Rattus norvegicus: one gene and its partners. The protein of the gene in region 3 interacts with the protein of the main gene of each other region in a biochemical or structural test. Links are inferred from orthologs where the notes say so. Each region holds a gene or a part of one and is shown on either strand. Other genes may lie near its edges. The genes, in order: Tnfrsf1a, Nfkbia, Ikbkb, Nfkbib, Trim21, Map3k14 and Map3k1.

Evidence for each region.
Region 1: of the proteins of Ikbkb (region 3) and Tnfrsf1a, one has a biochemical effect on the other in vitro, tested with the Homo sapiens proteins (2 studies listed by BioGRID, with this or other methods). The link is inferred for Rattus norvegicus from reciprocal best matches to the Homo sapiens genes IKBKB and TNFRSF1A.
Region 2: of the proteins of Ikbkb (region 3) and Nfkbia, one has a biochemical effect on the other in vitro, tested with the Homo sapiens proteins (58 studies listed by BioGRID and IntAct, with this or other methods). The link is inferred for Rattus norvegicus from reciprocal best matches to the Homo sapiens genes IKBKB and NFKBIA.
Region 4: of the proteins of Ikbkb (region 3) and Nfkbib, one has a biochemical effect on the other in vitro, tested with the Homo sapiens proteins (2 studies listed by BioGRID). The link is inferred for Rattus norvegicus from reciprocal best matches to the Homo sapiens genes IKBKB and NFKBIB.
Region 5: of the proteins of Ikbkb (region 3) and Trim21, one has a biochemical effect on the other in vitro, tested with the Homo sapiens proteins (2 studies listed by BioGRID). The link is inferred for Rattus norvegicus from reciprocal best matches to the Homo sapiens genes IKBKB and TRIM21.
Region 6: of the proteins of Ikbkb (region 3) and Map3k14, one has a biochemical effect on the other in vitro, tested with the Homo sapiens proteins (3 studies listed by BioGRID and IntAct, with this or other methods). The link is inferred for Rattus norvegicus from reciprocal best matches to the Homo sapiens genes IKBKB and MAP3K14.
Region 7: of the proteins of Ikbkb (region 3) and Map3k1, one has a biochemical effect on the other in vitro, tested with the Homo sapiens proteins (3 studies listed by BioGRID and IntAct). The link is inferred for Rattus norvegicus from reciprocal best matches to the Homo sapiens genes IKBKB and MAP3K1.

What each region holds. Positions count from the first base shown.
Region 1 is NC_086022.1:159,843,619-159,847,118, forward strand, and holds part of Tnfrsf1a (tumor necrosis factor receptor superfamily member 1A precursor), read left to right. Parts: intron 1-802; coding exon 803-956; intron 957-1,118; coding exon 1,119-1,247; intron 1,248-1,549; coding exon 1,550-1,699; intron 1,700-1,891; coding exon 1,892-1,970; intron 1,971-1,999; exon of another isoform or gene 2,000-3,500.
Region 2 is NC_086024.1:78,594,273-78,598,373, reverse strand, and holds the start of Nfkbia (NF-kappa-B inhibitor alpha), read left to right. Parts: upstream 1-1,301; 5' UTR 1,302-1,420; coding exon 1,421-1,647; intron 1,648-2,156; coding exon 2,157-2,265; intron 2,266-2,596; coding exon 2,597-2,807; intron 2,808-3,077; coding exon 3,078-3,166; intron 3,167-3,259; coding exon 3,260-3,520; coding exon of another isoform or gene 3,521-3,607; exon of another isoform or gene 3,608-3,980; coding exon 3,981-4,028; 3' UTR 4,029-4,101. UniProt on the Homo sapiens protein: Inhibits the activity of dimeric NF-kappa-B/REL complexes by trapping REL (RELA/p65 and NFKB1/p50) dimers in the cytoplasm by masking their nuclear localization signals.
Region 3 is NC_086034.1:76,067,031-76,070,530, forward strand, and holds part of Ikbkb (inhibitor of nuclear factor kappa-B kinase subunit beta), read left to right. Parts: intron 1-597; coding exon 598-647; intron 648-744; coding exon 745-844; intron 845-1,020; coding exon 1,021-1,168; intron 1,169-3,500.
Region 4 is NC_086019.1:93,175,853-93,178,387, reverse strand, and holds part of Nfkbib (NF-kappa-B inhibitor beta), read left to right. Parts: intron 1-1,745; coding exon 1,746-1,851; intron 1,852-1,934; coding exon 1,935-2,268; intron 2,269-2,535. UniProt on the Homo sapiens protein: Inhibits NF-kappa-B by complexing with and trapping it in the cytoplasm.
Region 5 is NC_086019.1:166,396,572-166,400,832, forward strand, and holds the start of Trim21 (E3 ubiquitin-protein ligase TRIM21), read right to left. Parts: upstream 2,801-4,261; 5' UTR 2,738-2,800; intron 1-2,737. UniProt on the Homo sapiens protein: E3 ubiquitin-protein ligase whose activity is dependent on E2 enzymes, UBE2D1, UBE2D2, UBE2E1 and UBE2E2.
Region 6 is NC_086028.1:88,688,093-88,691,592, reverse strand, and holds part of Map3k14 (mitogen-activated protein kinase kinase kinase 14), read left to right. Parts: intron 1-2,176; 5' UTR 2,177-2,195; coding exon 2,196-2,451; intron 2,452-3,498; coding exon 3,499-3,500.
Region 7 is NC_086020.1:45,096,019-45,099,518, reverse strand, and holds part of Map3k1 (mitogen-activated protein kinase kinase kinase 1), read left to right. Parts: intron 1-2,918; coding exon 2,919-3,197; intron 3,198-3,500. UniProt on the Homo sapiens protein: Component of a protein kinase signal transduction cascade. Activates the ERK and JNK kinase pathways by phosphorylation of MAP2K1 and MAP2K4. May phosphorylate the MAPK8/JNK1 kinase.

The DNA of each region.
Region 1 (3,500 bases), on a different chromosome or scaffold from region 3:
GTGGATGGAGGTCAGAGGTCAATCTCAGGTTCTCTAGAGAGCGTCAGGGACCTGCCTTGCTCTTCTCCATTACTGGGATTATAAACCTATGCTGCTATGCTTGGCTTTTTATGTAGGCGATGGAGCTTGATCTCAGGTCCTCAGGTCGCATAGCAGCACTTTCCCGAACTATCTTCACGACAGTCCTCCCTATAACTTAACCCCCTCCCCACAACATACTTTTCTAATTACTGTAATGGAATCCAGAGAGGTTTGCTCACTTCTAGGAAGTGTCCACAAACAGGCACAGTGTGAAACCCGCAGCCAGATAGAGAAATGCCAAAGGCGCCGCTGTCTGTCTGTCTGTCAGTCTGTCTGCGGGAAAACCAGGCCATATCCGAAACAGCCTTGTTTTCCTCCTTCTGGCTACATTTCTCGGCAGGGCAGAGGGCACCTCAGTGCTTCTGTGTGAGACCAGGAGCTCCACCCTCAGCCCTGCAAACAAGCCTAAACATTCCTTGACCAGTGTCCCCCCCTCCCCCGCCGTGGTCAGCCTTGTGAGCTGCTTCAGGGAACTGAACAGGATGAAATGCAGCTGGGGCCTGAGACCTAACTGCTCAGTTGTAGAGACCGTTGCTAGCATACAGAACCACCAGAGACCAGGAAAACACTGGACTACACAGCAGCCACCATCTTAGGGACAATGTTCCCCGGGAGGATGTAAACTTGGCGGTGTGTGTGTGTGTGTGTATCCAGTTTGTTGTTGCCTCTAAGGCCTCACCCTATCCCTGACAGAATTTCCTCTTTCCGATTGTTCCTTCAGGTGCTCCTGGCTCTGCTGATGGGGATACACCCGTCAGGGGTCACCGGACTGGTTCCTTCTCTTGGTGACCGGGAGAAGAGGGATAATTTGTGTCCCCAGGGAAAGTATGCCCATCCAAAGAATAATTCCATCTGCTGCACCAAGTGCCACAAAGGTAGGAGACAATGGGGGCAGAGAGTCCTCGTGAGGTTCCTTTTGCTTGTTTCTGACGTTCCCAGACCTTGTCCATGGGAGTCCCCTTACTTTGCTGTTTCCCCCGGAGTTGGGCTTTGCTCTTCAGCTCTCAACTACAGACTAATCCTGACCCCATCCACAGGAACCTACTTGGTGAGTGACTGTCCAAGCCCAGGGCAGGAAACAGTCTGCGAGGTGTGTGATAAAGGCACCTTTACAGCTTCGCAGAACCACGTCAGACAGTGTCTCAGTTGCAAGACATGTCGGAAAGGCAAGCCTTAGGATTGGGCAAGGGTTCTAGAAGGTGCACGGTGCGAGAAGGCGCGCGTGAACATGTGTGTGTGTGTGTGTGTGTGTGTGTGTGTGTGTGTGTGTGTCCATGGATGTTTGCCAGGGGTCGGGGTTCGAATCTGCCCGTGGGTGTGGCGGGAACATGCATGCACTTACAAACCTGGGCGTGTGTGTGTGGGACTGTCTGTGTCACGAAGACAAATGCACGTGGCGAGCTGGGGCGTCAAGATGTGTGTGGGAAAAGCGGTGCGAGACTCATATACCGTTTCCTTCCCTCTTCAGAAATGTTCCAGGTGGAGATTTCTCCTTGCAAAGCTGACATGGACACCGTGTGTGGCTGCAAGAAGAACCAATTCCAGCGCTACCTGAGTGAGACGCATTTCCAGTGTGTGGACTGCAGCCCCTGCTTCAATGGCACCGTGACAATCCCCTGTGAGCACCACTCACTCAAGTCCAGGCCTCTCCCCCAACCCCATCTCCTCCTTCCCTCCTCCCCATGAGGGAGCTGCTTTTCTACTCCTCTGTGGGTATGAGCTCCTATGTGGTGCCTGCATCCTGCCCTTCTCCCTCCCTCGTGTCCTCAGACTGCAGGCACACTCTCTTAGTCTCACTGTTTTCTCACAGGTAAGGAGAAACAGAACACCGTGTGTAACTGCCACGCAGGATTCTTTCTAAGCGGAAATGAGTGCACCCCTTGCAGCCAGTGAGTATCTGCCAAGTGCTTGGGGACCAGGGTGGATGAACAGCTGTGGCTGAGAGGCTCCAAGCAGGATTAAAGGAAGTATCCTACAACTGGATGAGAAGACAGTACAGCAAGACATCAGATTGTCCTTTCTGTTTCTCCAGAATGTTAGGGTACAGGCAAGTGGGTAAAGTGCTTGCAGCAAAAGTCTGGCACCCTGAGTTCAATCTCTGGAGCCCGTGTAAAGGTGAAAGGAGAGACTATCAGCTCCACAAAGTCATCCTCAGACCTCCACATACAGGGCATAGCGTGCATGCCTCTTCAGTGCTGGGCAGTTAGAATATGCGCACACTGTTCTCCACGGCTCTCTATTGATGGTGTCTTAGGTCTGGTGTGTCTGCCACCCTATTGCTGGTGATTCCTTCCCAGCCTCCCTGACAGACTTCCTCATTCCTGTGCCTCCACATGGGCTGTTCTCATACATTTGCTTCCAGAGGAAGAAACTCTGAGACTCTCATAGTTGAACTGACCTGGGGTTAAATCCCAACCTACCCATTTCCTGGCTCTGCAACCTTGGGCAAATTCCTACATCCCCACACCTAATGTTTATTAACTTTTAGGGTAAGGAGAGTCAGGGTGGAAGTACTTTGGGTCAATGGTAGAGCACTGGCCTAGCCTATTGGAGGCATTGGGTTGGATCTCCAAAACAGACGGCTAGACCAACGATCTATAATACTGTCTGAGCCAACGCTGTCTACTTTCTATTTTTTTTCCTACTCAGTTTCAACTCAGAAGAGCTCATGTGCCCAATCCTATGTGTTCTATCCCGAGCTCATGAGGAAGACAAAAATCTCCTTTCCCTGTTTGCAGACTTCTGCTGAGATCACATTCCTCTGTCGTCCCCCTACCCCCACGCAGTGTAGTTTTCTCATCTCTCTCCTCCCCAACCCCCCACGACAGCTCTCAATGGCTGCCCCAGTGATAGACATCCTAAAATCTCTCATGCCCCCGTGACCGGTCATATCCAAAATCAAGTGCTGTAAACAGCAGTGTTATCGGATGGGAGGCCCTCCAGCTTCTTGTATGAGTCCTCTTTCTGGACCTGTGACTGAATCAGCTTAAAGCAAAGACCGGCTTATTTTGCCTCCTGGTTTCATCAATTCACAGTATTTGGCATTGCTGCTTTTGAGCCGGTGCTGAAGCAGGACATCATGATCAGAGCATACTGTGCAAGCAAAGTAGCTCACCTTGTAGCAGCTGAGAGGCCAAGAGAAATAAATAAATAAATAAATATTTATTTATTTATTATATATGAGTACACTGTAGGTATCTTCAGACACACCAGAAGAGGGCATCGTATCCCCATTACAGATGGTCGTGAGCCACCATGTGGTTGTGGGATTTGAACTCAGGACCTCTGGAAGAGCAGTCGATGCTCTTAACCACTGAGCCATCTCTCCAGCCCCATTTTGTTTTATTTTATTTGTCTTTACTCAGGGTCTCACTGGTTAGCCTTGGCTGGCCTGGGACTCACTAGGTAGACCAGGCTGG
Region 2 (4,101 bases), on a different chromosome or scaffold from region 3:
AATCTTTTCCCCCAGTGTCCTCACTTTCATACTGTGGGGGAGGCAGTGGAATTACGAAGAGAGGAGAGTTGCTACAAGGCTCAACAAGAAAAAGATCACTCAAATTTCACCAGAAATCTATGCAGAACAGGAAGCCTACTGGGTCTATTCTGACAAACTGTGATCCAAGTTGCTTTAATTTTCCCGAGTTACCTCACACTTGCAGGCTCCTAAGTCGGGATGGGGTGGAAGCAACACTTCTACTTTTGCAGGTAAAACTAGGGGATCACAGGCCCAAATCCCTTTCTTGAGGAGTAGCCACCCACAATGCTGCGGTCCCTGGGAAGCAAGGAAGCTAGTAGAACCAGCAGGTTTCAGATGTGGTCAGTGTTAGGACTATGTTGAGCCTCCTGCAGGATGCTTCAAAGTTACTTTCTTAGCTATGTTTAAGAGGCTAGGGCACTAAACCAGTTGTTCTGCTAGGCATTCACAATAAGCTCCGGCTTTATTCTCTACAAGTTAACAAGTTAACTCCAACAGCAAGAACTCAACAGTTTCTGTTGCATGGAAGCTACAACTTCTACAAAGATTAACACCTTGCATTACTTGGGGGAAAATGTGGTTCCCATATGGAGCTAGACTTTGCCCCTCCCCCGCTGCCCCTCCCCCGGGCGAGATTATTGACCCCTCGGAATTAATCTAGGGGTTCTCCAGGCGCTTGGATTTTGTTGTTGTTGTTATTGGTTTTGTTTGTTTGAATGCCAAAGTGTCTACAGCTTCGAGGGGGGATGGTGAAGGGCAGCCAAATGTCCATGCACTGCAAAGAGCCTGAAACACAGACGACCCGGAATCACTCATACGTCCGTCGTCGCAGAAATTTAGGAGAAGCGAATCCCTGCACCCAGCCAGCCATTTCCACTCTTGGGTTTTCAAAAGATCAAGAACCGGAAAGGACCTGCAAATTGGCAAATCTCTAAGAGGAACAGCCTAGCAGGTTTGCGTCCTTGGAATCTCAGCAGCTTGGGACCCCAAACCAAAGTCGTCGGTGGGAAACCCCAGGGAAAGAAGGGCTCTTGTAGAACGCTGGGGTTACTGAGTGCAGGCTGCAGGGAAGTACCTAGAGGGAGGGGGCCTGGTCGGGAGGACTTTCCAGCCACTCAGGGCTCATCAAAAAGTTCCCTGTACATGACCCCAGTGGCTCATCGTAGGGAGTTTCTCTGATGAACCCCGGCCCTGGGTTTAGGCTTCTCAGTCGAGGACGAGCCAGTTCTTTTTCTAGTCTGACTGGCTTGGAAATTCCCCGCGCCTGACCCCGCCCCTGAGAAATCCCCTGCCAGCGTTTATAGGGCGCCGAGGCGGCGCTGCCGAGCCCACAACAGTCTGAACTCGCCACCCAACTGCCAGCAGCCTGCACCCTGCACCCGCTCAGCTCCGCACAGCCATGTTTCAGCCAGCTGGGCACGGCCAGGACTGGGCCATGGAGGGCCCGCGGGACGGCCTCAAGAAGGAGCGGTTGGTGGACGACCGCCACGACAGCGGCTTGGACTCCATGAAGGACGAGGATTACGAGCAGATGGTGAAGGAGCTGCGGGAGATCCGCCTGCAGCCGCAGGAGGCGCCTCTGGCTGCCGAGCCCTGGAAGCAACAGCTCACGGAGGACGGAGACTCGTAAGTGGCGGCGGGCTCGGGCATGGGCACGGGCGGGGTCGCGCGGGGCCTGCACCGCGCTCGGGGCTCTGCACGGCGGGGCTGCGGGGCTACGGGGCTACAGAGCTGCGGGCGCCGGGCCGCCTGCCTCCCCATCCCCCCACCCCATTTCCCGGGACCCGGAGTAGCCGAGCGCAGGCCGGGGGCGGGGCGGCAACGAGGACGCAAAGTCCCCGCCTGGCAGAGTTTCCGCGCAGCCGCCGGGCGCTGCGCGGCCGCGAGGGGAAGTACAGGGCGTTCCGGGCGGCGGAGGGCGGGCCGGTCTGGCCGGCGCCCGCCCGGAGGGGGTGGGGCACGGAAAGTCCCTGGGCGGCTGCCAGGAACACTCAGCTCATAATAACCTCGCGGAAAACACCGCGGCCGCGGCCTCCAGAAACCCCGGCCTTGCGCAATCCCCCGCAGCCCGCGCCTCTCGGGGGCCCCACGCAGTGCGCTCACCACCCCTGGGGGGTTTCCCTGTCATCCCGCAGGTTCCTGCACTTGGCAATCATCCATGAAGAGAAGACACTGACCATGGAAGTGATTGGTCAGGTGAAGGGAGACCTGGCCTTCCTCAACTTCCAGAACAACCTGCAGCAGGTGCGGGCTTGCCCAGCTGTGCCCTCTTTGACCCCGTGGTGGAGTTAGATGAAGCTCAGTCGCCCCCAAAGCGTTTCTAAATTAACAGTCACGGTCCTTATCTGCCCTGGCCTTTTACATTCAAATTAGCCAAAGTCTTAGAGCAAGAAGGAAAATCCCAAGGGTTGGTTGAGGTCTTTATGACCCACGTAGGGCCTCCTGTTTGCCTGATCTCCTGTAGACAAATGGGAGGAGGGGATTCTGTAATAGGAGGTGTCTGGGGTTCAGGAAACTCAAGACTATGGGTTTGCTCCATGGCTTAGGCTCTTTCTGTTTCCTCTTCCATTCGTAGACTCCACTCCACTTGGCTGTGATCACCAACCAGCCAGGAATTGCTGAGGCACTTCTGAAAGCTGGCTGTGATCCTGAGCTCCGAGACTTTCGAGGAAATACCCCTCTCCATCTTGCCTGTGAGCAGGGCTGCCTGGCCAGTGTAGCAGTCTTGACTCAGACCTGTACGCCCCAGCATCTCCACTCCGTCCTGCAGGCCACCAACTACAACGGTAGGTCTGCCAGTCCATCCAGGGACGCAGAGAAGGGAGAGACGGGTCCCCTTGAGTCTAGCCTGGAGCTAAAACGCCTCAACGTATAAGAAGTTCAGGCAGTGTGGACTTTTAAAAAGTCTTCTCCATGATTCCTACATGACGTTCACTGAGAACCCAGACTTTTGAGTTCTTCAAAATTGAGGTTGTTTGTGGTTGTCCCCAAGAAAGGAGACGTGACTTGTGTGAGGATTGAAACAAGTGGTTACAGTTCCGTCTTATATCCTGCAGGCCACACGTGTCTACACTTAGCCTCTATCCATGGCTACCTGGGCATCGTGGAGCACTTGGTGACTTTGGGTGCTGATGTCAACGCTCAGGTGAGTACTTCCCCTTCCTCCTAAACTCTGCTGGGCTGGCTCTTACTGTGAGCAGATTTCCAGATAAACACTTCTGATTGCCTTTGGTTTCAGGAGCCCTGTAATGGCCGGACAGCCCTCCACCTTGCAGTGGACCTGCAGAATCCTGACCTGGTCTCGCTCCTGTTGAAGTGTGGGGCTGATGTCAACAGAGTAACCTACCAGGGCTACTCCCCCTACCAGCTTACGTGGGGCCGCCCAAGTACCCGGATACAGCAGCAGCTGGGCCAGCTGACCCTGGAAAATCTTCAGACGCTGCCCGAGAGTGAGGATGAGGAGAGCTATGACACGGAGTCAGAATTCACGGAAGATGAGGTGCGTGTTCATTACTGCCAGAGTGGTCCATTCTCCCTCACCACACCTAGGTCTGTTCTAGAGCTGTTCTGTATCATAGGGACCTGAGTTATTCAACTTCTCAGTCTCAGCTTGCAAAGCCAGGATCCCAAGAACGTGTCTCTGGTTTGCTTTAATAGCTTACCCTTGTGGGTTTCGGAATGGGGCAGTAAGAGGGAGTTGTGGGAATTGAACCCAGGCTTTAACACGTGGTAATAGGCACATGTTCTACCATTGAGCTATGTCCCCTGCAATAGCTTAGACTTTTGAAAGGAGAGAATTGGTGAAGGGAACTCCTGCAGCCCGGCGCCTGCGTTCTGTTTAGGCTGAGGAGGAGAGAGTCCAGGAATGGGAGTTATTTGTAGAAGCAGCTCTCCCGCCATCCCAATGGCTTGGCGAAGTTCTAGGAATCTAATGTGCCTTTTTCCCTCTCTTGTTCCAGTTGCCCTACGATGACTGTGTGTTTGGAGGCCAGCGTCTGACGTTATAAGAGGAAAGTGGCCAAAGGAACGTGGACTTGTATATTTGTACAAATAGAGTTTTATTTTTCTAAAAAAAAAAAA
Region 3 (3,500 bases):
CAAAGAATTATCTGTTCTCCATCGTATCTTACATATTAACCCTCTCTCTTCCAGTTTCCAAATGAGAATCTTCACCTTGTGCGCATGTGGATGTGGATGTCCGTGTGTGCAGGTGTTGTTTCAAAACAGGGTCTCACTATTTAGCATTGAGAGACCTGGTACACAGTCAAGACTTGCCCCGATTCACAGAAATCCTACTACCTCAGCTTCCTGAGGGCTTGGGCTGTGTGTGCACAGCCAAGATCAGTTAGAGCCTCCTTCTGAGGCTGTTGCCAGCCCACCTGTGTTAGAGGAAGAGGCAGGCATTCACGTCTAGCTTTGGACTTAGGTTTTTGAGGGCAAGTATTTTCTTGGTCAGGTCCAGAAATGGCACCTCGAATGCCTCTCATAGCTAAGCAGAGGAGGAGTGTAATAATCTTTAAGCTTGTTCTTGTTTGGGGCATTTGGGTTTTATAACTATTCCCAAACTGGCAGTCTTTTCCCACTGAGAGCATGTGACCGGTCATCTGAAAAGTGGTGATTCTGCTGGCCGAGGTCAGCGGGCTGGTGCTGTAAACGTTCTTGCTGTGCCGTGACCATGGCCTTTTCTCTTTCCAGAGAGGAACAAGCAAGAGAACTCTACAGAAGACTCAGGGAGAAGCCAAGAGGTATGTGCTTCGGACCCCAGCCTCCATTTGTCTTGTCTGTGAGGCAGTGGTCTCCCCTGGAGGCCAGTAGGAGGAACGATACCATTCTCCTCTGCAGACCAAAGGACAGAAGGTGACAGCCAGGATATGGTACGGCTGCTGCTGCAAGCCATCCAGAGCTTCGAGAAGAAAGTGCGGGTGATTTACTCTCAGCTCAGGTGGGTGCTCCCTCTCCCCATCCAGGACCGGATGCAGAATCAACAAAGCCAAGGGGCAGGTGGATGCCCTTGCTCCTCGGCTGCGATCTGCCCGCACAATGAGGAACAGATCGTATTTAGAGCAGTGCTGTGCCGGCCCAGACCTCTCAGGCCTGTGGATCTTTCGTCCCTCACAGTAAGACCGTGGTTTGTAAGCAGAAGGCCCTGGAGCTGCTGCCCAAAGTAGAAGAGGTGGTGAGGCTCATGAACGAGGATGAGAAGACTGTGGTCCGGCTCCAGGAGAAGCGGCAGAAGGAGCTCTGGAACCTCCTGAAGATCGCCTGTGTGAGTGACTTATTCCGGCCTCTCAGGTCCCCTCCCTCAGCCGTGGCTGCTCTTTCAGCTCTGACCTGTGACATGGAGTGGTCAGGGAAGCTCCCTGAAGGGAGGCTTCAGCAATTACCTCAAAGAGCTGCAGACAGCAGCCATTGCTCTTTCAGAGCTTCAGATACCGGAAGTTAGGAATCCAGTTGTCAGCAAAATGGTGTCTCCTCTGATGGATCCAGGGCAAAGCCACCCCACCCCCACTACCCTCTCCAGCTTCAGTGGCTCAGGCCTCCTCATCCCGTCCGTGTCTGTCTTCTGTTGACATCAGTGTCTCATCCGAGTGTCTCTTATAAGACATTCTGGGGTAGAGATACATTTCAGCAGAAAGATGTTTGCCCCGTGCCTAAGGCCTTGGGTCCAGTCAGACCCTAGCAGCAGCACACACACAAACACACACACACACACACACACACACACACACACAGAGCTAAGCAGAAGGTTGCACACTTATTATCCCAGCACTTGCTGAGACAGGAGGATGATGAGTTTAGACCAGCCTAAGCAATGTCGAGACTCCTTTCAAGGTGTTAGTGGGCTGATAAGGAACTGGCATGGTGGCACATACCTGTGAGCCCAGCCCTTGGGGCTCTGGAGCAGAAAGTTCAGGGCTAGCTTGGACTACATAGTAAGGCCTACCTCAGATAACAAAATAAATCCAAAAAGAGCAAGAAAAGGAGATAGTTTATTACAGAAGCAGGAAACCAAAATGTTGCTTTGTGAAGATTCTAAGCCTGGAGCGTCTCCACAGGCCAAGCGGGAGGAGGCAGTGTCTTGCGAGGCTCACAGCAGCAAGCTCACACTTGTGCTCACTCTAGAGAACTCAGGGAAGTCAGAATCCAGAGCTTCACTGATGGATTTGCCTGGGGATGGGAGCTGGGGGATATGCCCTCCTGTAAGAAAGGGGAACCGAGGTAACACATGCTGGCTTGTTCTGCCACCTGCATTCACCGAGTGTCCAGTGTGAGAGCTGTGCTGTGTGGGGAGCTGGGTCTGGCATCCACCGTAACCCACCGAGGGCGCAGACGAGGACTTGAAAGAGAGCACCCTAGCCTGCTAAAGAAGCGTAAACTCGGGGCTGGGGATTTAGCTCAGTGGTAGAGCGCTTACCTAGGAAGCGCAAGGCCCTGGGTTCGGTCCCCAGCTCTGAAAAAAAGAACCAAAAAAAAAAAAAAAAAAGAAGAAGCGTAAACTCTGGTGTGCAGGGTGGCGGCCTGTGAATTCAGGGCAGGAACCCCAGCTTTCTCGGAAGTGAGGGAGTAACCAGAAAGGCTCCTGCGTGGGAGTCGGAGTGATGTGACCATGAGAATATTCCAGGAGAGCGCATGCTGTCTGCTGGTAAAGCTGGATTGGAGCAGTGCTTGTAGGGTTTCACTGGGGGCAAGACGGAATGGGGCTAGCACCGGCACCCCTTATTCTCATAGCACAAGAGGAAACACTGAAGGGTTCCCTCTTCCCAATCCCAGTGAAGGCACTTCAGGAGAAAACACTCGGGAGTGGCTGGAGACGGAATGCCACATTGTCAACCGTAGCACCAAGAGACAAAGGCGATGGGTGGAAGGAGTTGAGAACCCTGTGTGGAGCAGGCTAGCCCTTCCATATGAATTAAGCTTGCATGCCTGGTGTAGAGACAGAGGAAGCAGGCGTCCAGCTTTCTCCACAGGTGGTGCAGCAGACGGGTGAGGAACAGTACAAAAGCGCTTGCTTAAAAGGCTTGTTGAAGGTGGACCTTGGTGGTTAGCCAGGGTCGGGGAGGGGGAGGCAGAAAGGGACCCCAACCTGAGGGCTGAGATTAGGACCGTGCAGCTTCTGGCAACAGTGACGAGAGGATCAGGGACAGCGAAGAGTGTATGAGGCAACCCCACCAAGGAGAGGCCAGAGGCTCAACTGCAGAAGTGGCTAGAGGTGCTAAGGAACTGGCTGCAGGGCCTGGTCCCTGGCTGCACGCATGAGGAGGTGGCCAGCAGCCACAGCCTGGGTGGGCCTCTTGCTGGAGGAGGCTAGCTGTAGCAACCCTGGTCATCCAGACGCCTCAGTGTTCTTTCTGAGCTACACCACAGGTAGTGCAGTCGTTATTATCTCTGTGTACCTTGGCTTCCCACTTGGAAAAGTGAAAACACCTTCCTCTCCTTTAGGTTTGCTTTGTGTGTGTGTGTGTGTGTGTGTGTGTGTGTGTGTGTGTGTGTGTGTGTATTCAGGTGTGAGTGTGTGCACATGCGTGCATGTGTCCAGGTGTACCAGAGGCACTGGGTCCCCCAGGAGCTGGAGTTAAGCATTTGTGAGCCACCCACTG
Region 4 (2,535 bases), on a different chromosome or scaffold from region 3:
GAATTGAACTCAAGACCTCTGGAAGAGCAATCAGTGCTCTTAACTGCTGAGCCATCCCTCCTACCCTAGCCTTAAACTCTTGGCCTTCCTGCCTGGGATTCCAGGCAAGGTGGTGCAAGGCTGGTTTCTGCAGAGTTGGGGTTGAGCCTTATGTGTGCTAAGCTAGCACTCCCAAGTAAGCCACTGCCTAGCTCACCTTTCTTCTTTTCTTTTTTTTTGTTTTTTGTTTTTTCTTTTTCTTTTTTTCGGAGCTGGGGACCGAACCCAGGGCCTTGTGCTTGCTAGGCAAGCGCTCTACTACTGAGCTAAATCCCCAACCCACCTTTCTTCTTTTCTAATGTGCTCGGAATGCTGTACATATTTCCTCTGGAGAACTTCTGATAGACTGTGTTTTGTTTTTAGCATAATTGAGTATATTTTTTAATTTCTCTTTTGATTTCTCCTTCAGCCAGTAGGTAATAAAGAAGTACATTCATTTTCCACACTTGGAGGACTTTCCAGACCTCTTTCTGTCACCGGCTTTAAATTTCATTTCACTGAGGGCAGAGAACATGCTTTGTCTGATTTGCGGTCTCTGGTTTTTTTCTAGCGGTGCTGGCCATCAAACCCAGGGCCTCCTGAGTGTTAGGCAAGGGCTCTCAGGAACTGTGTCCCACAGATTTCATTCTGATGATGCGTGACTTAGAGGTAATGTTGGTTAGCAGTGTTGTTCAAAGCTGGGTGTGTAATTCCAGCCACAAAGAAGACGGAGACAGGAGGAGTTCAAGGTTAGGGCCTGCCTAGGAAGAGAGTAAATTCAAGGCCAGCCTGGGGACATTCATAGCAAGGCCCTGTTTCACAATAAAGGGAACCAACAGGAGGAAACTCGGTGGCACAGAGCTTCCCTGCATGCCCGCTACCTTAGATTCAGTCCACACAACTGCAGAGTCAAGGCGGCCGCTCCTGAAGAACGGTGCCTTTCAAGTTGACTCTGTTCCTGTTTTTCTGTTTATTCAAACAGTTGGTGACAGAGACCTATTGAGATCACCAGTCTATGGATCCATCTGTTGCTACTTCTCCTTGTTATTAGATCTGTGTGCATGTATGTGTGTGTGTGCGTGTGTGTGTGTGTGTGTGTGTGTGTGGTATGAGTGATGTGTGTGTATATATGGTGTGTGTGTGTGCGTGGTGTGTGTGTGTTGTGTGTGTGGTGTATGTGATGTGTGTGTGTATATGGTGTGTGTGGTGTGTATGTGTGGTGTATGTGTCTGTGTGTGTGTGGTGTGTTTCTGTGTCTATGTGTTTCTGTGTGTGTGTGTGTGTGTGTGTGTGTGTGTGTGTGTGTGATAGAATCTCATTATTTAGCATTTAACACTGCTGGTTTAGAACTCACCATGTAGTTCAGTCTGGCCTTGAACTAACAATCCTCCTACTTTAGTTTTCCCACGTACTAGCATTAGAGCTATTACACCTGATTATATTACTCAGTAAATACTGGTGAAACAAAGTCGGTAGCTGGGGCCTATTTGCACAGGCTTGTCAACCTTGCCACTCAGGAAGCTGAGGCAGGAGGGACTTGAACTCAAGGTCAGTGTGGGCAACTTATGAAGACCATCTTATCTCAGAACACCAACCCCGTCAGACAAAGTTTCTGGATTACCTTCTGCCCCCTGACTCTCCCAAACACTGAAATGTTTCCAACTGTGGCCACAGTTTGCAGCACATAGAAGACACTCTGTGTTACTGACCTTTGCCTTTGTCCCCAGAGCCCTGCACTTGGCCGTGATACATCAGCACGAGCCCTTCCTGGATTTCCTCCTGGGCTTCTCTGCCGGCACTGAGTACCTGGACTTGCAGAACGACCTAGGCCAAGTGAGCCACTGGGGATGTTTGCTGTAGGGAGCCGGGTCCAGCATTGTCAGTGTGGCCCTAACCCCTTCCCTCTATCCCTGTAGACAGCCCTGCACCTAGCAGCCATCCTTGGAGAGGCATCTACAGTAGAGAAACTCTATGCAGCTGGCGCAGGAGTGTTGGTGACTGAGAGAGGGGGCCACACAGCACTGCACTTGGCCTGCCGTGTGAGGGCACACACGTGTGCATATGTACTGCTTCAGCCCCGTCCCAGCCACCCAAGAGATGCCTCAGATACCTACCTCACTCAGAGCCAGGACCACACCCCAGACACCAGCCATGCCCCTGTTGCCACGGACCCCCAACCCAACCCAGGGAACGAAGAGGAGCTGCGTGATGAAGATTGGAGGCTGCAGCTAGAAGCTGAAAACTATGATGGTGAGGGCCCCGGGCCCCAGGGAGGATGTGAGCTCCTGGCTCCTCTCGCCCAGCCTGAGATGCAGCTGATGCCCTTGGACATAGCTCAGTTGGTGGGGTGCTCATCTGGCATATGTAAAGCCCTAGGTTCGATCCCCAGCGTAAACAGTATGGTGGTGTATGCCTATAATACCCTGTGTTGGGAACAAGAGGAGGAATTTAAGGTCATCCTGGTGCTACTTAGCTAGCTTGAGGCCAGGCTAGGTTACAGGAGACTGAAACAGATAC
Region 5 (4,261 bases), on a different chromosome or scaffold from region 3:
GAGTTAGACAGAACAATTTGCAAATTCATTTGGAATAACAAAAGACCCAGGATAGCAAAAACTATCCTCAACAATAAAAGGACTTCAGGGGGAATCACCATCCCTGACCTCAAGCAGTATTACAGAGCAATGGTGATAAAAAGTATATGGTATTGGTACAGAGACAGACAGATAGACCAGTGGAATAGAATTGAAGACCCAGAAATGAACCCACACACCTATGGGCACTTGATTTTTGACAAAGGAACCAAAACCATCCAATGGAAAAAAGATAGCATTTTCAGCAAATGATGCTGGTTCAACTGGAGGTCCTCATGTAGAAGAACACAAATTGATCCACTCTTATTGCCCTGTACAAAGCTCAAGTCCAAGTGAACCAGGAACCTCCACATAAAATAAGATGCACGCAAACTAAGAGAAGAAAAAGTGGGGAAGAGTCTCGAACACATGGGCACTGGAAAAAATTTCCTGAACAAAACACCAATGGCTTATGCTCTAAGATCAAGAATCAACAAATGCGACCTCATAAAACTGCAAAGCTTCTGTAAGGCAAAGGACACTGTCATTAGGACAAAATGGCAACCAACAGATTGGGAAAGATCTTTACCAATCCTACATCTGATAGAGGGCTAATATTCAATATATACAAAGAACTCAAGTAGTGAGACTCTAGCGAACCACATAACCCTATCAAAAATGGGGTTCAGAGCTAAACAAAGAATTCTCAACTGAGGAATACCAAATGGCTGAGAAGCACCTAAAGAAATGTTCAACATCCTTAGTCATCAGGGAAATGCAAATCAAAACAACCCTGAGATTACATCTCACACCAGTCAGAATGGCTAAGATCAAAAACTCAGGTGACAATAGATGCTGGCGAGGATGTGGAGAAAGAGGAACACTCTTCCATTGTTGGTGAGATTTCAAGCTATTACAACCATTTTGGAAATCAGTCTGGAGGTTCCTCAGAAAACTGTCATAGTACTACCTGAGGACCCAGCTATACCACTCCTGGGTATACACCCAAAAGATTTTTCAACATATAACAAGGACACATGCTTCATTATGTTCATAGCGGCCTTATTTATAACAGCCTGAAGCTGGAAAGAACCCAGATGCCCTTCAACAGAGGAATGGATACAGAAAATGTGGTACATCTACACAATGGAATACTACTCAGCTATCAAAAACAATGACTTCATGAAATTCATAGGCAAATAGATTGGACTAGAAAATATCATCCTGAATGAGGTAAGTCAATCAGTAAAAACATACATGGTATGCAGTCATTGATAAGTGGATATTAGCCCAAACCTTGGGTTACCTAAGATACAATCCACAGATCACATTAAGCTCAAGAAGGACGACCAAAGTGCAGATGCTTCAGTCCTTCTTAGAAGAAGGAACACAAATATTAATAGGAGGAAATATATAGACAAAGTTTGGAGCAGAGACTGAAGGAAAGGCCATCCAGAGACTGCCCCACCTGGGCATCCAGACCATATATACATACAGCTACCAACCCTAGACAATATTGCTGATGCCAAGAAGTGCATGCTGACAGGAACCTGAAATAGCTGTCTCCTGAGAGGCTCTGCCAGAGCATGACAAATACAGAGGCAGATGCTCACAGCCAACCATTGAACTGAGAGTGGGGTCCCCTTTGGAGGAGTTAGAGAAAGGATGGAAGGAGCTGAAGGGGCTTGCAACCCCATAGGAAGAACAATATCAACCAACCAGAGCTCCCAGGGACTAAACCACCACCCAAAGAGTACACATGGACAGACCCATTGCTCTAGCTGCATAAGTAGCAGAGGATGGCCTTTTGGGGCACCAATGGGAGGGGAAGCCCTTGGTCCTGCCAAGAATTGACATCACAGTGTAGGAAATGTCTGGGCAGGCGGGTGGTAAGGGGTGGGCGGGGGAACACCATCATAGAAGAAGGGGGAGGGGAGGTGGAATAGGGGGTTTATGGAAGAGAAAACAGGAAAGAGATAACATTTGAAATAAAAATAAAAAAAAATCCAATAAAAAAACTTCAAGATGTGCATTCATTATCCTGAGTACATCATCTAAGAGTATATTTCCCAGTTATTAGGCTTGTGTGTGTGTGTGTGTGTGTCAGACACACACACACACACACACACACACACACACACACACACAAATTGATGTCTTTATTTACCCTGATATGTTCCATTGTAAGCTACACTTGAGCACAAATGCATCAATGTAGGCATGCCCATACGTTCCTCTATCTAAATGTCTATGTACAGAATATGTATGTATGCTCATCTATTGACATTTGTGGGGAGCACTCCCTGGGCTCTTCTCTAAGCTCCTCCAAGCCTAGTACTTCTCTCAACTTCCTTTAGGGTGCTGAGTATCTTAAACCCACTGAAATTTCTAAGTGGCTAGCACTCTCCTCAATCGAGGGTCTTCAAGGGGCTGGGGTTTCCCCGAGTTCCCCCCTCCCCTCTCCCTCCCGGACTAGGTCACCGCCCTGCTTCTCCTGCTCATGGCACTAGGAAAGTCAATTTCAGAGACCAGCTTTCACAGGGAAGCACGGGCAGCCTGGCAGGGTTGGGACTAGAGAACTCCGCTGAAGAGAAGCAGCAGGTGGGCTAGGAAATTCCGTGTGTAGGGCGCTAGTGGGAAGCGGCTCCTTGAATCTGTGGCATTGGGGTGGGGTGGGGGGAGCCCATCTAGTCTGGCCAGGGGTCCCATCCTCACTCACCTTACCAGGGTCCTCAGACTTGGCTAGGCTGTTTTCAGCTTCACTTTTGCAAGCCCGCAGTCTAATTTCACTTTCAGTTTCCTCTCAGAGGTAAGCTTAGAAGGAAGAGGGAGGAGCAAGGGGAGGAACAGGGAGTTGACTGGCAAGCCTTGGAGGCAGATAGGGCGGAGACTGGGCAGAGAGTGGGAGGAGAGTGGTCAGAGGTGCCAGAAACTGACTTCAGGCCACAGGCAAAGGAAAACTCAGTTAATGTCTTCTTGGGTGCAGTCTCTCTAAGGCCTCCTTGTCACCTTTAACAGACTGTAATCTACAGGATATCGACCTTTGACACTGGTCTTTACTTCAAACCTGGGAGCATCTGGGAGAAGAGGTCTGGATGGGAGAGGAGTTACTATCTTTTCTAGAGGGATCTTCCCACAAGACTGATAGTTCTTTAAAATCCGGGTGAAAGATCCTGGCACTGTTTTTGTTAACATATATTAATTGCACAGTATGCTTGACATATGCCCATTTCCCATCCCTCTGTCTTCTCGTTTTGCTCCCCTCTTTTCAAATAGTCTAGGGTGAGAAATTTATTCCTAATGATGTTAGGGTATGTGTTGTAGCAATGAAGGGAGACTTGTGGACATTGATTGTATTATAATTTGCGCTAAAACCATCAGGTGAATTTTCCTTGCCATTTATCATATTTAGGAAATAAAAGCATTCCGTGCTTTGAAATTTCCAGCCCTGTTTAAGAGATCCTTCTCAGTAAAAGGTCACCAGGCGACATCTACTGTCTAGATTGTGCTGTTGTATTGGGACTTGATTCCAGGAACACAACAGCTCCAGGAAGCAGAATGAAAAACAGAGTCAAGCATCTGAAAGGACAAAGGCATCTGCAAACATCAGAAAATGATTCTGCTTCACACCACTGAAGATCTGTCGCTATTTCCTGCAGGCAAAGAACTTGGGTCCCAAAATAAGGTAGTGGTAGAGTCAATGTCTATTTTTCTATTTACCACTAGATGACGCCTTATCTGTTTCAGTTTACACACTGGATAGAGAGATTAATACACACCCTAGGGTTGTGGTGATAAATACTCTATAATGTGCACACAGGATGACCAATGTAATATACTCATAGCTGCCTCAGCTCCCACCTTGGTAATTATCTGAAGACCCAAACTCCTGAAGAACAAAATCTCCTTCACTCTCAGCTAGTACTTTGATATCTCAACCCTCCTTCCCCTGGGCGAAATGACTCAAGTATTTATTTGGGAAGAGTTAATGTCATTGATAGGACTGTCTAGTACATTATCAGTGTTTTGGTGAAGTGAGATATTTATGCTTTGGGTTTTAGTCAGGCTTTACTAACTTGAATGTGTTTCAGTAACCCAAGTTGTCTCAGTGGTACCCAAGTCCACTCTGTCCAGGACAGGAAAAGCATTCTTTACTCATTTCTAACTTAGTGACCTAAGAAGCCCCAAAGATACAGAAGTAGAAGGAGGACAGCTGGGAACAGGAAAGGACCAATGGGTGTGG
Region 6 (3,500 bases), on a different chromosome or scaffold from region 3:
GGAAGGAAGGAAGGAAGGAAGGAAGGAAGAATCCCAATGCTAGCTAGGCATGGTGACACATGCTTCTAATGCCAGCACTCAGGAGGCAGAAGGAAGCTGATCTCTGAGTTTGAGGCTAGCCTGGTCTACATAGTGAGCTCCAGAACAGCCAGAGCTACAGAGAGAAACTGGTTCTGGAAGAAAAAAAAAAGTCTTCCAATGTTGGAAGGCGGGATTAGCCCTGTTCTTTTTGTAATGATGCTAACGTCTCTGCTGTGGACATGCTCTCCAGCCGCGTATGGCTGTGCTGTGTGCGTGGGAAGGCTCAGCATGGTCCATGTGGAACCCAGAGAAAGGTGGGGTTTCATGCAGAATACTGGTTGGTATTAAGGTCTCCAGTATAGACACTCCTCCTATCATTGCCTGAAAGAAATCCTAGATTTTTGCAGCAAATGAGTTTCGGAAATCTGAGGAGGAAGCCATTTTTTCAGAACCTTCCAGAGAGCCACAGACTGTTGCATCATGGGAAAGGAGCCAAGTGTTCAGCCCATTTTTAGGCTGAATAGTAGGCTTTGTGACATTTCTGCACACACATATTCATATAAAGCCACGCATTTCATGACAGTGTTTCCACCAACAATGGACTGCATGTACCACTGGCCCCCTAAGACTTTCCTTTCCCCAGTGATGTCATAATGCATTCTGTGACACTCGCACAATGCTAAACTCTTCTGGCAATACATTTGCAGAATGCATCCGCATCGTGATATAACTGTGCATATATTTATTCCTGCTAAGAACAAAACCAAACCTTGCTTTTCTCCATTGGAGAAAAGCCACCATGGACAGAATAGATGTGCTCTCTGTGAAGGCAAGGTGTCCTTGGGGTCTGTGAGGGGACGGTTTTGGAGAATGAGATTTACCTCCCTGTCCAGGGGAAATGAAGTTTTCCACACAACAGGAAGAGTTTTAGCCACTGTAGGACGAGAAAAGTCCAGTTCCATGTTGCTGCTGTCTGCAGGGGAGGAAAGACTGACTCTTCTTTAAAACATATTGTTTTTTGCTCTTTGATGATTTTGTCCATCATCAAAGATGTATAATGTATTTTTGTAATATTCACTCCATTACCTTCTTTTTTTAAGTTATTTACTTTTAGGCCAGGTGATCGTAACACACACCTCTGATCCCAGCACTCAGGAAGCAGAAATAGGCAGATCTTTGTGTTCAGGGTAGCCTGGTCTACAGACTGAGATCCAAGACAGCCAGGAATATATATACCTGTATCAAAAAGCCAAAACATATAACAGTTTAACATCATTTAAAATAATTTAAAATGTGTACCTAAAGGTTTACCTTTATGTATGATATACAACACATATGCAGTGTCCATGGAGGCCAGACCAGACAAGGGCATTGGATCCCTGGAACTTGAGTTATATTGTGAGCTGCCATGTGGGTACAAGGAACCAAATCCATGTTTTCTGCATAAGCAGCCAGTGCTCTAACTACTGAACCATCTGTTTCCTCTTATCTCCCTCCCATTCCCCTTCTTATGTGCCTGTCAGTGTGTATGCACATGTGTGTGCATGTATGAGTGCTTGTATTACATTGAGTTTAACTAGGGTCACTTGCATGAGTGTGGTGTGGGGTTATTTACTAGAGCACAGGCAGTTTACCAGTGGCTACACCACTGAAGAAAATGACTCCCATCTCTCTGAAGGTCCAGCAGATGAATCCATTTTTAAATGATTTATTTTATTTTACATGCACTGGTTTTGCCTCCTTATATGTATGTGTAAGGGTGTCAGATCCCCTGGAAATGAATTATAGACAGTTGTGAGCCACCATGTGGGTGCTGGGAATTGAACCTGGGTCCTCTGGGAAAGTAGCAGTGTTTTAAACCACTGAGCCATCTCTCCAGCCCCCAGAAGAGTCTATTTATACTACAGCGCCAGTAGACCAGTGCTCCCACAAGTGGAATGCTTGTAAATAGTTCAAGGTTGGTGTCCTTACCTGTAACTCAGGGTGTCTAGAGGATGAGTATCCTTGCCATAAAGAACCAAGAACCTCTCATGTGACCCCCATACAAACACATACCCACACGCATGCATGCTTCCCCTCCAAGCATGTTCAACCTGTGGCTGACCACACAGGGTCTAGGATTTGAATGACCAAATCTGTGTTTGGCCCTGTCAAGGTGAGCACAAGCCTAGGAGATGGCCGTGATGGAAGTGGCCTGCCCAGGCACTCCTGGGTCGGCAGTCGGGCAGCAGAAGGAGTTCGCCAAAGCCAAGGAGAAGACACAGTCACCAGGGAAGAAGCAGAGCTGCATCTTCCAGCTCGAGGCGGTGGAGAAGAGCCCTGTGTTCTGTGGGAAGTGGGAGATCCTCAACGATGTGATCACCAAAGGCACAGCCAAGGAAGGTTCCGAGGGCGGGCCCCCCGCCATCTCCATCATCGCCCAGGCTGAATGTAAGGACCCAGGGTACTGTGGGTTCAGTGGCAAGTGAGTGGGCTTGCAGATGGGTGGCTGGGCACAAGAGGCCAGCCTTGGAGTCCCCATGGGAGAGCAAGGTCAGAGCGACTGCTCTAGAAGCATCTCTCCAGACACAACTGAGCATCTAGGCCAGAATGTGTAAGTGGGAGTTGTACACACACTAGGGTGGATCATGGGGATATAGCAAATAGAGACTGTGTCACCGTGACCCAAACAGGGGCAGCCAAGAGTCAAGATTGCTTAAGGACTCTACAGGAAAATCAAGCTGGCCCTTAACCTTCTGCTGAGGTACTTAATGGGAGCATGTGGAGAGACCCAGACAGGAGAGGCCAAGTTTCCTAGACCCTCTGCTTTGCAGGTCTTGGTCTCCGAACTGCTAGCCTCAGCAGGAGGCCAAGTCTGGCTTTCTCCACTTTACTCCTGTTGCCTCCAAATGATAGATATTGGTGGCTGCCTGGGAAACAAGAAGTCCCAGGGGACCTCAGTAGCACCAGAGCCCTTTCCCCTCCGTCAGCACCATCCTCCAGTCCAGACCTTGGGCTAGAACCCAGAGAACCTGGCATTTCTTTCCGTATATATGCATCCTCTGCTTTGCCTCCTGAGGCCTCTCTCTTGGTTTCTGAGAAGAAACAAGAAAACAACCCTGCAAATGAGCTAAAATGAAATGAATGTACATATAGACACATACGTGTAAACAGAAATACATGCCAGCTTGTTTGTCAAGCTAACTGCCCTGTGGGGTGCGGAATGTTCAAGGAAGCTTCACTGTGAGTGAGACAGGCAGGCTCCACATGATCCCCGCTTTACAGACAATCCTCTCTTCACCGGTAAACCGGGGTACAGGGTAGCCCCCATTGAGAGAGAAGATGGTGGACTGGAGGCGAGCCATCAGACAGAGGAGTATGGCAGAGAAAGAAAGTGACCACTGAGGCCTGTCTGTAAAAGGCTCTCCCCTAAATGCTGACTTTGTCTTTGTTCTCATCCCCATCCCCGCTAATCTGACCCTTTTCCCTGATTCTCAGGT
Region 7 (3,500 bases), on a different chromosome or scaffold from region 3:
CTCCTGCTGGTTTACTCTTCTTATACATGTAAATACATCACAATTCGTCTTCTCCCCCAAAAGTGTGTAAAACATCTCTTATATCTAGAAGTTTTCATATATGTTGTCTTAGAATCAAGCTTACTTTTTAATAATTGGTCATGAGGTCAATACCATTTACGATTCTCCTGTAGAAGGTTTTGGGTCCTGGTGGGAGGGCTGTAACCACACTTACATTAACTCTGTTACATCCTTGTCCTTTGTTCATTTAAACAAAGCATTCTCTTTTTTTATCTTTATTAAATTGGGTATTTCTTATTTACATTTCAAATGTTATTCCCTTTCCCAGTTTCCAGGCAAACATCCCCCTAACCCCTACCCCTCCCCTTCTCTATCGGTGTTCCCCTCCCCATCCTCCCCCCATTACCGCACTCCCCCCAAGAATCCCATTCACTGGGGGTCCAGCCTTGGCAGGACCCAGGGCTTCCCCTTCCACTGGTGCTCTTACTAGGATATTCATTGCTACGTATGAGGTCAGAGCCCAGGGTCAGTCCATGTATAGTCTTTAGGTAGTGGCTTAGTCCCTGGAAGCTCTGGTTGGCTGGCATTGTTGTTCTTGTGGAGTCTCGAGCCCCTTCAGCTCCTTCAATTCTTTCTCTGATTCCTTCAACAAGGGTCCTATTCTCAGTTCAGTGGTTTGCTGCTGGCATTTGCCTCTGTATTTGCCATATTCTGGCTGTGTCTCTCAGGAGCGATCTACATCCGGTTCCTGTCAGCCTGCACTTCTTTGCTTCATCCATCTTATCTAGTTTGGTGGCTGTATATGTATGGGCCACGTGTTGGGCAGGCTCTGAATGGGTGTTCCTTCAGTCTCTGTACTAAACTTTGCCTCCCTATCCCTTCCTAAGGATATTCTTTTTTTTTTTTTTTTTTTTTTTTTTTTTGGTTCTATTTTTCGGAGCTGGGGACCGAACCCAGGGCCTTGCGCTTCCTAGGCAAGCGCTCTACCACTGAGCTAAATCCCCAACCCCCCTAAGGATATTCTTGTTCCCCTTTTAAAGAAGGAGTGAAGCATTCACATTTTGATCATCCATCTTGAGTTTCATGTGTTCTGTACATCTAGGGTAATTCAAGCATTTGGGCTAATAGCCACTTATCAATGAGTGCATACCATGTGTGTTTTTCTGTGACTGGGCTACCTCACTCAGGATGATATTTTCCAGTCCCATCCATTTGCCTATGAATTTCATAAAGTCATTGTTTTTGATAGCTGAGTAATATTCCATTGTGTAGATGTACCACATTTTCTGTATCCACTCCTCTTTAAACAAAGCATTCTTTAGTCTCACTTTTCTCTTCTGATCCCACCTGTTGATCCTTTTCCTACAAGCCAAAAATCATACAAATTTCTGTTTCTCTTAAGAAAAATATTCTGACTTGAAGCCTCCACACCGGTGGTGTCCTGTTTTCCTTGTTTTTTGTACAAAGCCATACTCCTTCTCTATAAAGTATTTTAATCGTGTATAAATATGGAGTTCTTTGCAGTTTGTTTTTTGTCTCTTGGTTTTAGTGTTTTGTTTTACAATTTATTTATTTTGTATATGTGAGTACACTGTGGCTGTCTTCACACACACCAGAAGAGGGCATCAGATCCCATTACAGATGGTTGTGAGCCACCATGTGGTTGCTGGGAATTGAACTCAGGACCTCTGGAAGAGCAGTCAGTGCTCTTAACCGCTGAGCCATCTCTCCAACCTGGGTTTTAGTGTTTTTAAACAAAACAAACTATGAAAATGAAGGTACCCAGTTATCAGAGTTTAGCCTCAGTTTTACTTATAAGCTATTCAGTGTTAGTAACTTCGCATGATCATTCCTTGAATTTGATGATAAGGTGTGTTCTATGTGTTGAAGTGACTAGCATTGCAAATTAAGTGCTGTCGTGCTTTAGTTACTTTTATTGTTTCTGTGACCAAATACCTGGCAAGAAGTAACCATGGAGGGAAGGATTTGTTTGAGCTTACAACCGAAGGCATGCAGCTAATCATAGCAGGGAAGGCACGGCAGCAGGACCTAGAGTAGCTGGTCACGGGGCATCCACAGACAGGAAACAAAGGGAAACGAGCTCATTTCTCATTATTCAGCCTGTGCTCAGCACATTTACGGTAGGTCCCCGCCTCAACTAATATAATCTGGAAAGGCCCCAGTAGACAATCCCAGAAGTTTCTAAGTCCCATGAATTTGGCAGTCAGGGAGTGGGGGTGTGGACCCCATTTCTCCGGATGCTGTTGGCCCTCAGCTTGAGGGGAGAAAAGGGAGCAGAGGCAGAGAGCAGCAGAGTTTGGACAGAATTGCCTCCAGAGTCTGCTACTTGGGAGGCTGAGACAGGAGGATTGCTTGAGTCCAGGTTCTGGGCTATTGCACACTCTACAGTTCAGATGTTCCACTAAGTTTGGATGTCCACACTAAGTCTGGCATCATAAGGGTTACCTAGCAGATAGTTCAGCTAGTCAAGAGTTTTCCTTTTAAGCGTAGGAGTCTGAGTTTAATGTCCAGAATCCTATAGAAAACTAGGTGTGTTGATGCACTGCAGTCCCAGCTCTGGAAAGGTGGACCCACAGGGCTCAGTGTCCAGCCAGCCTAGCCTAATTAGTGAGCCTAAAGAAGAGCCCATCTCAAACCAGAAAGAAAAGAGACGTGGACATCTCCCGGGAACAGCTCCTGAGGTTGACCTCTGCCCTCCACATGTACACATGTGCACCATGAGCCCACACAAGAATGTGTATGTATTATGTAATTCTTCATAGAAAAACGTTGACAATTAAAAGTATCTGTCAGATACAGTCAAGGCTTGAAAAGTGGCCATTTTTCTTTAATTGTGGGAAACTCGTTAATACAGCGTGGGTCGCTTACTTCTCCACACTTGTGTTTGCTCGATTCAGGCATTCGGAATGGAGCTCGTTGGCTGCTTATTCTCTAGAAACTGGAACGTAAGGGAGATGGCCCTTAGGCGCCTTTCCCACGATGTTAGCGGGGCCCTGTTGTTGGCGAACGGGGAGAGCACTGGAACTTCTGGAGGCGGCAGCGGAGGCAGCCTAAGTGCTGGCGCCGCCAGTGGGTCTTCCCAGCCCAGCATCTCAGGGGACGTGGTGGAGGCGTGCTGCAGCGTCCTGTCTATCGTGTGCGCTGACCCTGTCTACAAAGTGTACGTTGCTGCTTTAGTAAGTACTTTATTCCATACCCATCTCTTACGAGTTTCTTTCTTTGGTCTTTTGTAGGTATCAGTTATAAGAAGCAATGCATCTTTACCAAAATTTTTTTATACCATAGTCCTAAGAAGTTGCAGTATTCCATTTTGTCTGTCCATATAATTTTACTGATCTTAATGTGCTCCTGATTTCTTATACACTGTTTACTGTCTGCCGTCTACTAGTAATGTCTTGCTGTTCATATATTTTCTTGAATGAATGCATCACATATGGCCAAGTTAAAACTTCTTGATGGCTTGTATTGTAGTTCTGGGC